Linked DNA regions of Arabidopsis thaliana. The protein of the gene in region 2 interacts with the protein of the main gene of each other region in a pairwise test. Each region holds a gene or a part of one and is shown on either strand. Other genes may lie near its edges.

Region 1 (3,755 bases), on a different chromosome or scaffold from region 2:
GAATGATGACTTGTTTAAATTGTGACAGATATATATGCTTAAGATGCAAATATAAACAGGTCATTTCACGGCTTAAAATCTCCAAATATAGCTAGTTAGTTATTGTCAACAGTTTTATGTGTGTCTTACAAACCTCAGATTTCGAAGACCCCACCAGAAGCAGTAGAAGAATTTCTTCCAGAAATCATGTGATTCAACAACGCCACTCTTAAGAGCATCAGTGAAGATGCCAAAGTTGAAGATGGTTGAGTTTGTTATATCACCAGGGTCGAGAAATGGGCAAGAAGTGGTCAGGAAATTGTTGCTAACGTTACGATCGTTTTCACAGTAGAGGAATTTCATATTACAACCTTTTGTCTTCTCGCATGCCTCTTGCCAGCATCTGTCTTCTCGTTCTACTGAGATTAAGTACCATAAAGCTCCAAACACCTGAATAAGTAAGTTTAACATATAACCTTTAATATGCATTTACATGTATAAAGATTCAGTCATCAAAAGATCCGAAACTCACATGACTGGCTAACATATAGAGAGAGAGGTTCCAAGCAGCTCCAGCCCATGCTGTTTCAGTAACAATGCCAGATGTTCTTGTCACTTCAGTGTAAAGCGGATACATACGGAGAATCCGAGGAACATATTGAGCAATTATGGAAAATTTAAGGTAGTCTTTTGTTAGCAAAGAGACTGGCTGGTTGACGCTTGGAATAACGGCTAAAACTACTATCTGCAAAAGTTAAGAAGCCAGAGGATTCAAAAAGAAATGATCATTGACATTTTGAACAAGTAATCAAACTAGTCATTTACCTGTGGGAGAGGAAGGATAGAGAGTAGATCAATGATGAAGTAAGAAGAGAGATACTTTAAGGCTATTGCCTTAGCATCATCTACCAGTTCACCTCTTCCAAAAACCCGCGAAGAAGGAGCGATGTAAGCTGTCCTGAACTGAAACACAATGTGAATAATGTAAAAGGCATCGATGAGCGTACGAAGCAAACTCGCAGCTATCTCCAACTTTGAGTCCAAAGTAAGACAGTGCCTTGCGCTATCGACAATGGGAATGTAGAAAAACAATGGATCAATCGCCAAAGCAACCACACAAGCAAATAAAAATATTTTGTTCCAGTTCTGGAGAAACGAATCCTGCGGGTTTATGATGTTCTTCCGAGTAACACTAGATGTTTCCTTGTGGTCAGGATCCTTATGTGAAGGGAAACTCAATGGCTTCTTGAATCCCCATTTTACATTCTTGAAAACTCTATCTAAAGAAGGTCTAGCTTTTCTTCCATAACCATATTCAGAGGATAATGGTTTGCCTTCATCTTTGAACCTAAACAAAATCATAAGAAAATGAGATAGTAGAAAAAATCATTCAACTATGAACTGTTTTCAAGATTTTCTGTAACTACCAACCTTACACGATTATCATGGCTAAATGCCATCAGCCAAACCCTTGTATATTTCAACTGATCTTTCGCTTACAGGGTGACGAGTCCTAACATTATAATAAGAACCAAAACTTAAGACATACGAATTCTTCTACATGATTACGTACAATGATAATCCCCAATACCAATTAAAAATAAGCAAGTAGACACCTAACTACAAATACAATTGTGTTGTGTGTATGTGTTTTTAAATATTTCTTTCTTGAAAAGGTTAATTAGAGAACCTAGAATCAGTCAATTTCCACCTAACATTAGATTATACCAAATCCTGTAATTCCTACCCATTCCTGCTCAATAAATGGAAACCACACGAACAACTTAAAAACACTGTTCATCAAAGATAAGAAATCCAAATTTCAAAAAACCATTGACCATAAACGAAAGACATATATCTAAGCGTTTCGGTTCTGAGAAACAGCAAAATAAATTCAGACGAAAAAGAACAAAAACGGAAATCGGAATCAAAATTCTATCATCAAACTAACCTGAAACGAAGTAGGTAACGGCGAGATAGTAAGATTCGGCTAATAAACGGAAGTCGGTGAACGGCGTTTTCTTCAATTCAAGCAACTGGTCCCGTCGTCGCTGGAAAGAGAGAGAGACTCATATGGCGGTTACTTGTATCTCTCTCTGTATATTGTTTCCTGGAAAAGTAGTATATGAGAATTTTATTATACGACAAAAAGGGAGGGAAAGAGGAATATTATGCAATTAAATATTATAAAGTCTGTTCAATTGAAAATCATTTCATAAAACAATTTCATTCAGATGAATGACTTGGTCAAAGTCAGACGGCGAGAATAAGCAAGTTGCCAAATTTTAAGTACCGGGCCCATTATGAATATTGAGCCCATTTAGATTCATGACCCAAAATGAAGTAACCGCCCCACCATATGTTCCTTATTTCTTTTCTCTTCACACTGATTTATTTTCTGTCGGAAAATACGGACGGCGTCGTCGTTCTTTTTGACGGTGTAGCTCACCGGCGTCGATTTTTAGATTTTTTTTTAAGGTAACATATTCTTCCTTGTGTTTAATCTCCATACTTTTGATCTACTTTTCGTTCTTGTTTAGTCTTTAGTGTTGTTCGAGCTTTTGTCTCCAATTTCAATCAATTCAAAGGGTTTTTAGATTCCAAATTTTGTAGCTTCCGTTGACACATCGAGTTGTCGAACTGTGTTTCGGATTGATCTGTCTGGAGCTTCTATTTCTGCTTCCTTATCTACTGTGAATGAAATTGCCACCGATATAGATAGTTAGCTAGGGTTTATTCGTGAGCTCGCGTAGATGAATTAGGAAGAATTCAGGTGATCATTTTTATGTTGCATTGTCTATTATTGTAACTGAATCTGGAGAAATTTTGATAAAATTGTTGTTTGACTCAGTGCAAACAAATTTACAAGTTTTCAGGAAATTGACTTAATACTAATCTTGAATTTTGCAGGGAAACACTAAGCAGCAAATTACAAGTGGGTGATTTGTGTTTGTTACATAGTCTTATATCTAACTATGTCAGATTCTGGTGAGCCTAAACCTTCTCAGCAAGAAGAACCTCTACCTCAACCTGCTGCCCAAGAAACTCAGTCTCAACAAGGTTACATATACTTCCTTCTATCTCAATTCTAGTTGTCGTCTCATTGAGATTTTTTCTTGTTCTTCGTTGTTAGCTAGAAATTTTCATTTACACTAATCAAATCATTCTTCTGTTTCAGTTTGCACTTTCTTCAAGAAGCCAACGAAAAGTAAAAACATAAGAAAAAGAACCATTGACGCTGATGAAGAAGACGGAGATTCGAAAAGCGAAAGCTCTATTCTACAAAATCTAAAGAAAGTTGCAAAACCCGATAGCAAGTTATACTTTTCTTCTGGACCATCTAAGAGTTCTACTACAACGAGTGGAGCTCCTGAGAGGTCCGTCTTTCACTACGATTCATCCAAGGAAATCCAGGTTCAGAACGACAGTGGAGCAACAGCAACCCTTGAAACTGAGACCGACTTCAATCAAGACGCACGAGCTATCCGTGAGAGAGTTCTTAAAAAAGCAGACGAAGCATTGAAAGGGAATAAGAAAAAGGCTTCTGATGAGAAGCTGTACAAAGGAATTCATGGATATACAGATCACAAAGCTGGGTTTAGAAGAGAACAAACAATCTCGAGCGAGAAAGCTGGAGGCTCACACGGGCCATTAAGAGCTTCTGCTCACATAAGAGTGTCGGCTAGATTCGATTACCAGCCAGACATTTGCAAGGATTACAAAGAAACCGGATACTGTGGATATGGAGATTCGTGTAAGTTCTTGCATGACCGTGG
Region 2 (3,755 bases):
TTTACTTTTGAACTGTCAATAAAGGCAATTTACAAGCTTGACTTATATAGTTGGGACTTACGTATATAAGGTCATTGACGTAAGTAATCATCTGTTTAGCTTAATTTCTTTGTCTGTATGTAAAAGTCTTCTAGGTAGACCCCATGACTAAAATTGTGAAATTACAAAGTTTTAAATACAATTTTAAAAGTAGCTAACAATCTAATAAATGGCAACAAATATTTTGCAACTCTAAGATAATAATCAAATCATTCGATTGTTTAATTTGTGATTTGATAGTATTGTAGCTACTATCAAATTTAAAAGGAAAAAAACGGAGGATAAATAGTAGATTGATACTAGATAGTGTGAACGACCCTCATAAGTCAGATGTCAACTAGTTGACCCCAGAGATTCCGTCACGCTACGAGAGTTGAAAATTCAATATTTGTTCTATAGTAATTTTTGTAATAAAGAAGCTGATCTTATTCATTTACACATTTTAAACCTAAATAGTTTTTTTTTTTTTGGTTTTAACCTAAATAATTTACAAGTAAGACAATAACTACATTTTTAATTAATGTTGAGTTTAGAAGTATTACTAAAAGCATATCGTATGGTTGACTCTTTGTACATCAACAGAATATTTTATTGGTCGTTGTATTGAGGTGAATTATGCAACTGATATATAAAAAAAGGACTCATAACCACTAGTGACTCCCAAAACATGGGACAAAAACTTAATCGACACCGAACCAAAAAAAGAAGGATTAAGTTGCCGGAAAAATGCACCAGCATAAATGATTGAATCAAGTAGAATATTTTCTTATTGACGAAGTTGTCAGAAATGATACGTCTGCATATTTATTAGATCTTGATAAATGTACGCTACATTTTTCTATTCCCTAATTATGATGACACTATAGTTAGAATATCGCTAGAAAAGATATCCTCAAATATGCGTTTCGTTTAAACATGTAAATCGTAATTAAAACTAAATTTAACCAGCTAAGAGACTCTTAGCCTGCTTAAACGTATTTTCCCTATCTTCCTACTTATGACACTAATCCTAAAAAATATAGTCTGAACATTTTCTTGAAATTCGCATATTTATGACCGACGTTACAAAAAAATAGGATCTGTTAAGATGCGTCTTTAGTTCAAAGATGTAAAAATGAAATTTTAAACTTGTAAATTTTAATATTTTTCAACTTTTTCAAATTAGAAATTCTCTAACAAGAAAATATAAATATAACATACCAAAAAAAAAACGAAAATATAAATATAAATGAGAAACAGAGGAAATGATAATTTTGTTACCTGCGACGGGAATCTCAACGGCGAACTCGGTGTAACAAAAGACGGAGAGCATGGCGGAGACACCAGAGACAACGTAAGACAACACGACGGCTGGACCGGAATGATTACGTGCTTCGAGTCCAGTGAGAACGAATATCCCAGAGCCGATGACTGCACCGATACCAAACCACATGAGATCCCACCACGTCAACGTCTTCTTCATCTCGTGACCACTACGAGCCTTCATCTCGTTAATCTCGTCGGAGTCTAGTGACCGAGTCATAATACGATCCATGAACCGACTCGGTGTTTCTTTAAGGGCTTTTAGGTAATTCCCCATGCTTTGGAACGATTCTTCCGGTAAGAAATCGTCTTTTGTGCATGAACAGCCTCGCCGACGAAGCCCATCGTCACCACCACCCGAAGCCATTTTTTTTGTTAGAAAATTATGTTGATCCAGATTCTGATTCAGATTCAGAATCTGAGATCGGTTTTATAAAGACTCTGTTTTTTTAGAGTGAATGGTAAGAAGAGAAACTGAAAAGTGAAAAACTCTTTAGTTTTTGTAAATTAATAACAGAATTTTGGGTTCCTAAAGTCTGCCTTACTTATAGTAGCTATCCTTTGACGTTTTTCTTGTATTTATTTCTTTCTATAAACAATTATTTATCGACGGTTTTGTGTAATTAGCTGGAAATGTGATACGGTAAATTAAATTATGGAAACCTTAAATAGAGTCCATGAGATTTTGTTCTTGTTGTATGGTCACTAGTTGGTCACCAGCTGCATTCTTTGACCATTTTTTCTAAGAAAAAGATGAAATCGAATTATAAATGTAAACAAAATCTGGTGTGCCATAAAAAGAAAAGATCATGTGTGATACGAATTTTTCCATCGGATCACGTCTTCTGGATAATTCAATAGTACTTTCTCATTTAAGTAAAATGTTATATCCGTTATACTCAAAATTATGATATATAAAGAAAAAGTTATATGTTCAGTTTCAAACTTGTATATGAAATTTATTGGTTTTAAACAAAACTCGACTTAGTTGATAATTGGGTTCTAATTCACACCAACCACTTACCACAATTGCTCCTCCTATTACAAGCGCGTCAAGAAAATGATTTAGCCTCCCCTAATTTTTCAAGTTTTTTTTTTAATGTTTACTTCCTCTAGTTTTGTATTAAACGATGTCCAAGAACTGTGATCCTATTTTTGGTTTCTTTTGTGCTTCCAATAAACCATGAAAAATGAACCCAAAAAAAAAAAGAACGATCATGGATTTTGGATCATGTATGTATGTTATGTGAGTTTAAAGAGAAGAAAGTCCATCGAGTTTCACAAAGCATCTAGAGCGAGCGTAATGGGCATCTCTTCTCGTTTTGGACCTTGGTGGACATCTTGTTTAGAACATACATCATACATGCATTACACGATAAGATTAGAAATAAATAATACTAATCCATATGACCAAGACGAAGAATCTTGTTCCACATGGAAACATAGGGGCAGGTCAACTGTAGTGAGAACCAATACAATTTTGAAGTCAAAACAATTTCCTTGGATCAAGCAATCAAGTTTCGTCTAGATAAATACAAGAATTAATAATTATTTCTGCTTCAATAATATCTTGTTCTATCACCGGTTGACCAAAACATAACTCACGGCGTCATGATAAACTTGCTGCAAATCTCACGAATTTAGAGAAATTGACACTTTTGGGAATAGTAAAACACTCTTTTAATTCAGTAAGATACCAAACCGGGAAACGTCTTTCTACTTTCAAGTTTCAACTATATACCAAACCGGAACGTTCTTTTTATTTGCAATACCACCCAGAGTTGATAAGTAAGAGCAAGGAGATTTTTAGTCAGGGTTTTTAGCCTTTATGGAATAATACATAATCCAGATTTAACAAGTGACAAGATTGTAACAAACAGTCAGAGATAGCGAATAAAGCTATGTTGAATTTAATCGCCACTCGCGCATCCTTGACAGCCGCAGTGAACGCATTCGACCACTTTCTCTTCACGCAAGTGTTTGGGAACACGGCATACACATGTTGTTCCATAGTTGTGGTCTCTTGGCTGTATGCAGCGCAAGCAGCATAAACGTTCGTATCCCGACTGCAAAACACAAAACAGAGAGTTTTTAGAGTTACTTAACACAAAGTATAGAGACACGTATAAATGACAAAATCTTAGTTCAATGAAAGAAAACAAAAGTGAAATCTAGGTATATGTCTGGATAGTATAACCTACAAAGAGAAGATGCAACAGAATTGACAGGGAGGAGTTTGTTAATAAACGATTCATGAGTGACCATCATTAAGATGTGGGAGTATGGTTAGAAGTTAGAACTATCCAAAATTTGGCAAATCGTGGAGGCAATGCACTTTGTTCGAAGTATAATTACCAGAAATCTTATTTCTTCACCAAACAAAGCAACAATACCAATTCTAGAACCTATTCGTT

The links. Proteins that work in one complex are often made in the same cells at the same time.
Region 1: the proteins of AAT1 (region 2) and CNGC10 interact in a protein complementation assay, tested with the Arabidopsis thaliana proteins (one large-scale study listed by BioGRID).

The regions. Positions count from the first base shown.
Region 1 is NC_003070.9:133,778-137,532, forward strand, and holds the start of CNGC10 (cyclic nucleotide gated channel 10), read right to left. Parts: upstream 2,148-3,755; 5' UTR 1,931-2,147; intron 1,546-1,930; exon of another isoform or gene 1,493-1,545; 5' UTR 1,440-1,492; coding exon 1,411-1,439; exon of another isoform or gene 1,342-1,410; coding exon of another isoform or gene 1,328-1,341; coding exon 805-1,327; intron 725-804; coding exon 512-724; intron 430-511; coding exon 134-429; intron 1-133. Other genes in the region: AT1G01350 (Zinc finger (CCCH-type/C3HC4-type RING finger) family protein), read left to right, coding at 2,955-3,039, 3,158-3,755. UniProt on the Arabidopsis thaliana protein: Probable cyclic nucleotide-gated ion channel.
Region 2 is NC_003075.7:11,268,271-11,272,025, reverse strand, and holds the start of AAT1 (amino acid transporter 1), read right to left. Parts: upstream 2,042-3,755; 5' UTR 1,709-2,041; coding exon 1,300-1,708; exon of another isoform or gene 62-1,299; intron 1-61. Other genes in the region: AT4G21110 (G10 family protein), read right to left, coding at 3,252-3,407. UniProt on the Arabidopsis thaliana protein: High-affinity permease involved in the transport of the cationic amino acids (e.g. arginine, lysine, histidine, citrulline, valine, and glutamate). Transport mostly basic amino acids, and, to a lower extent neutral and acidic amino acids.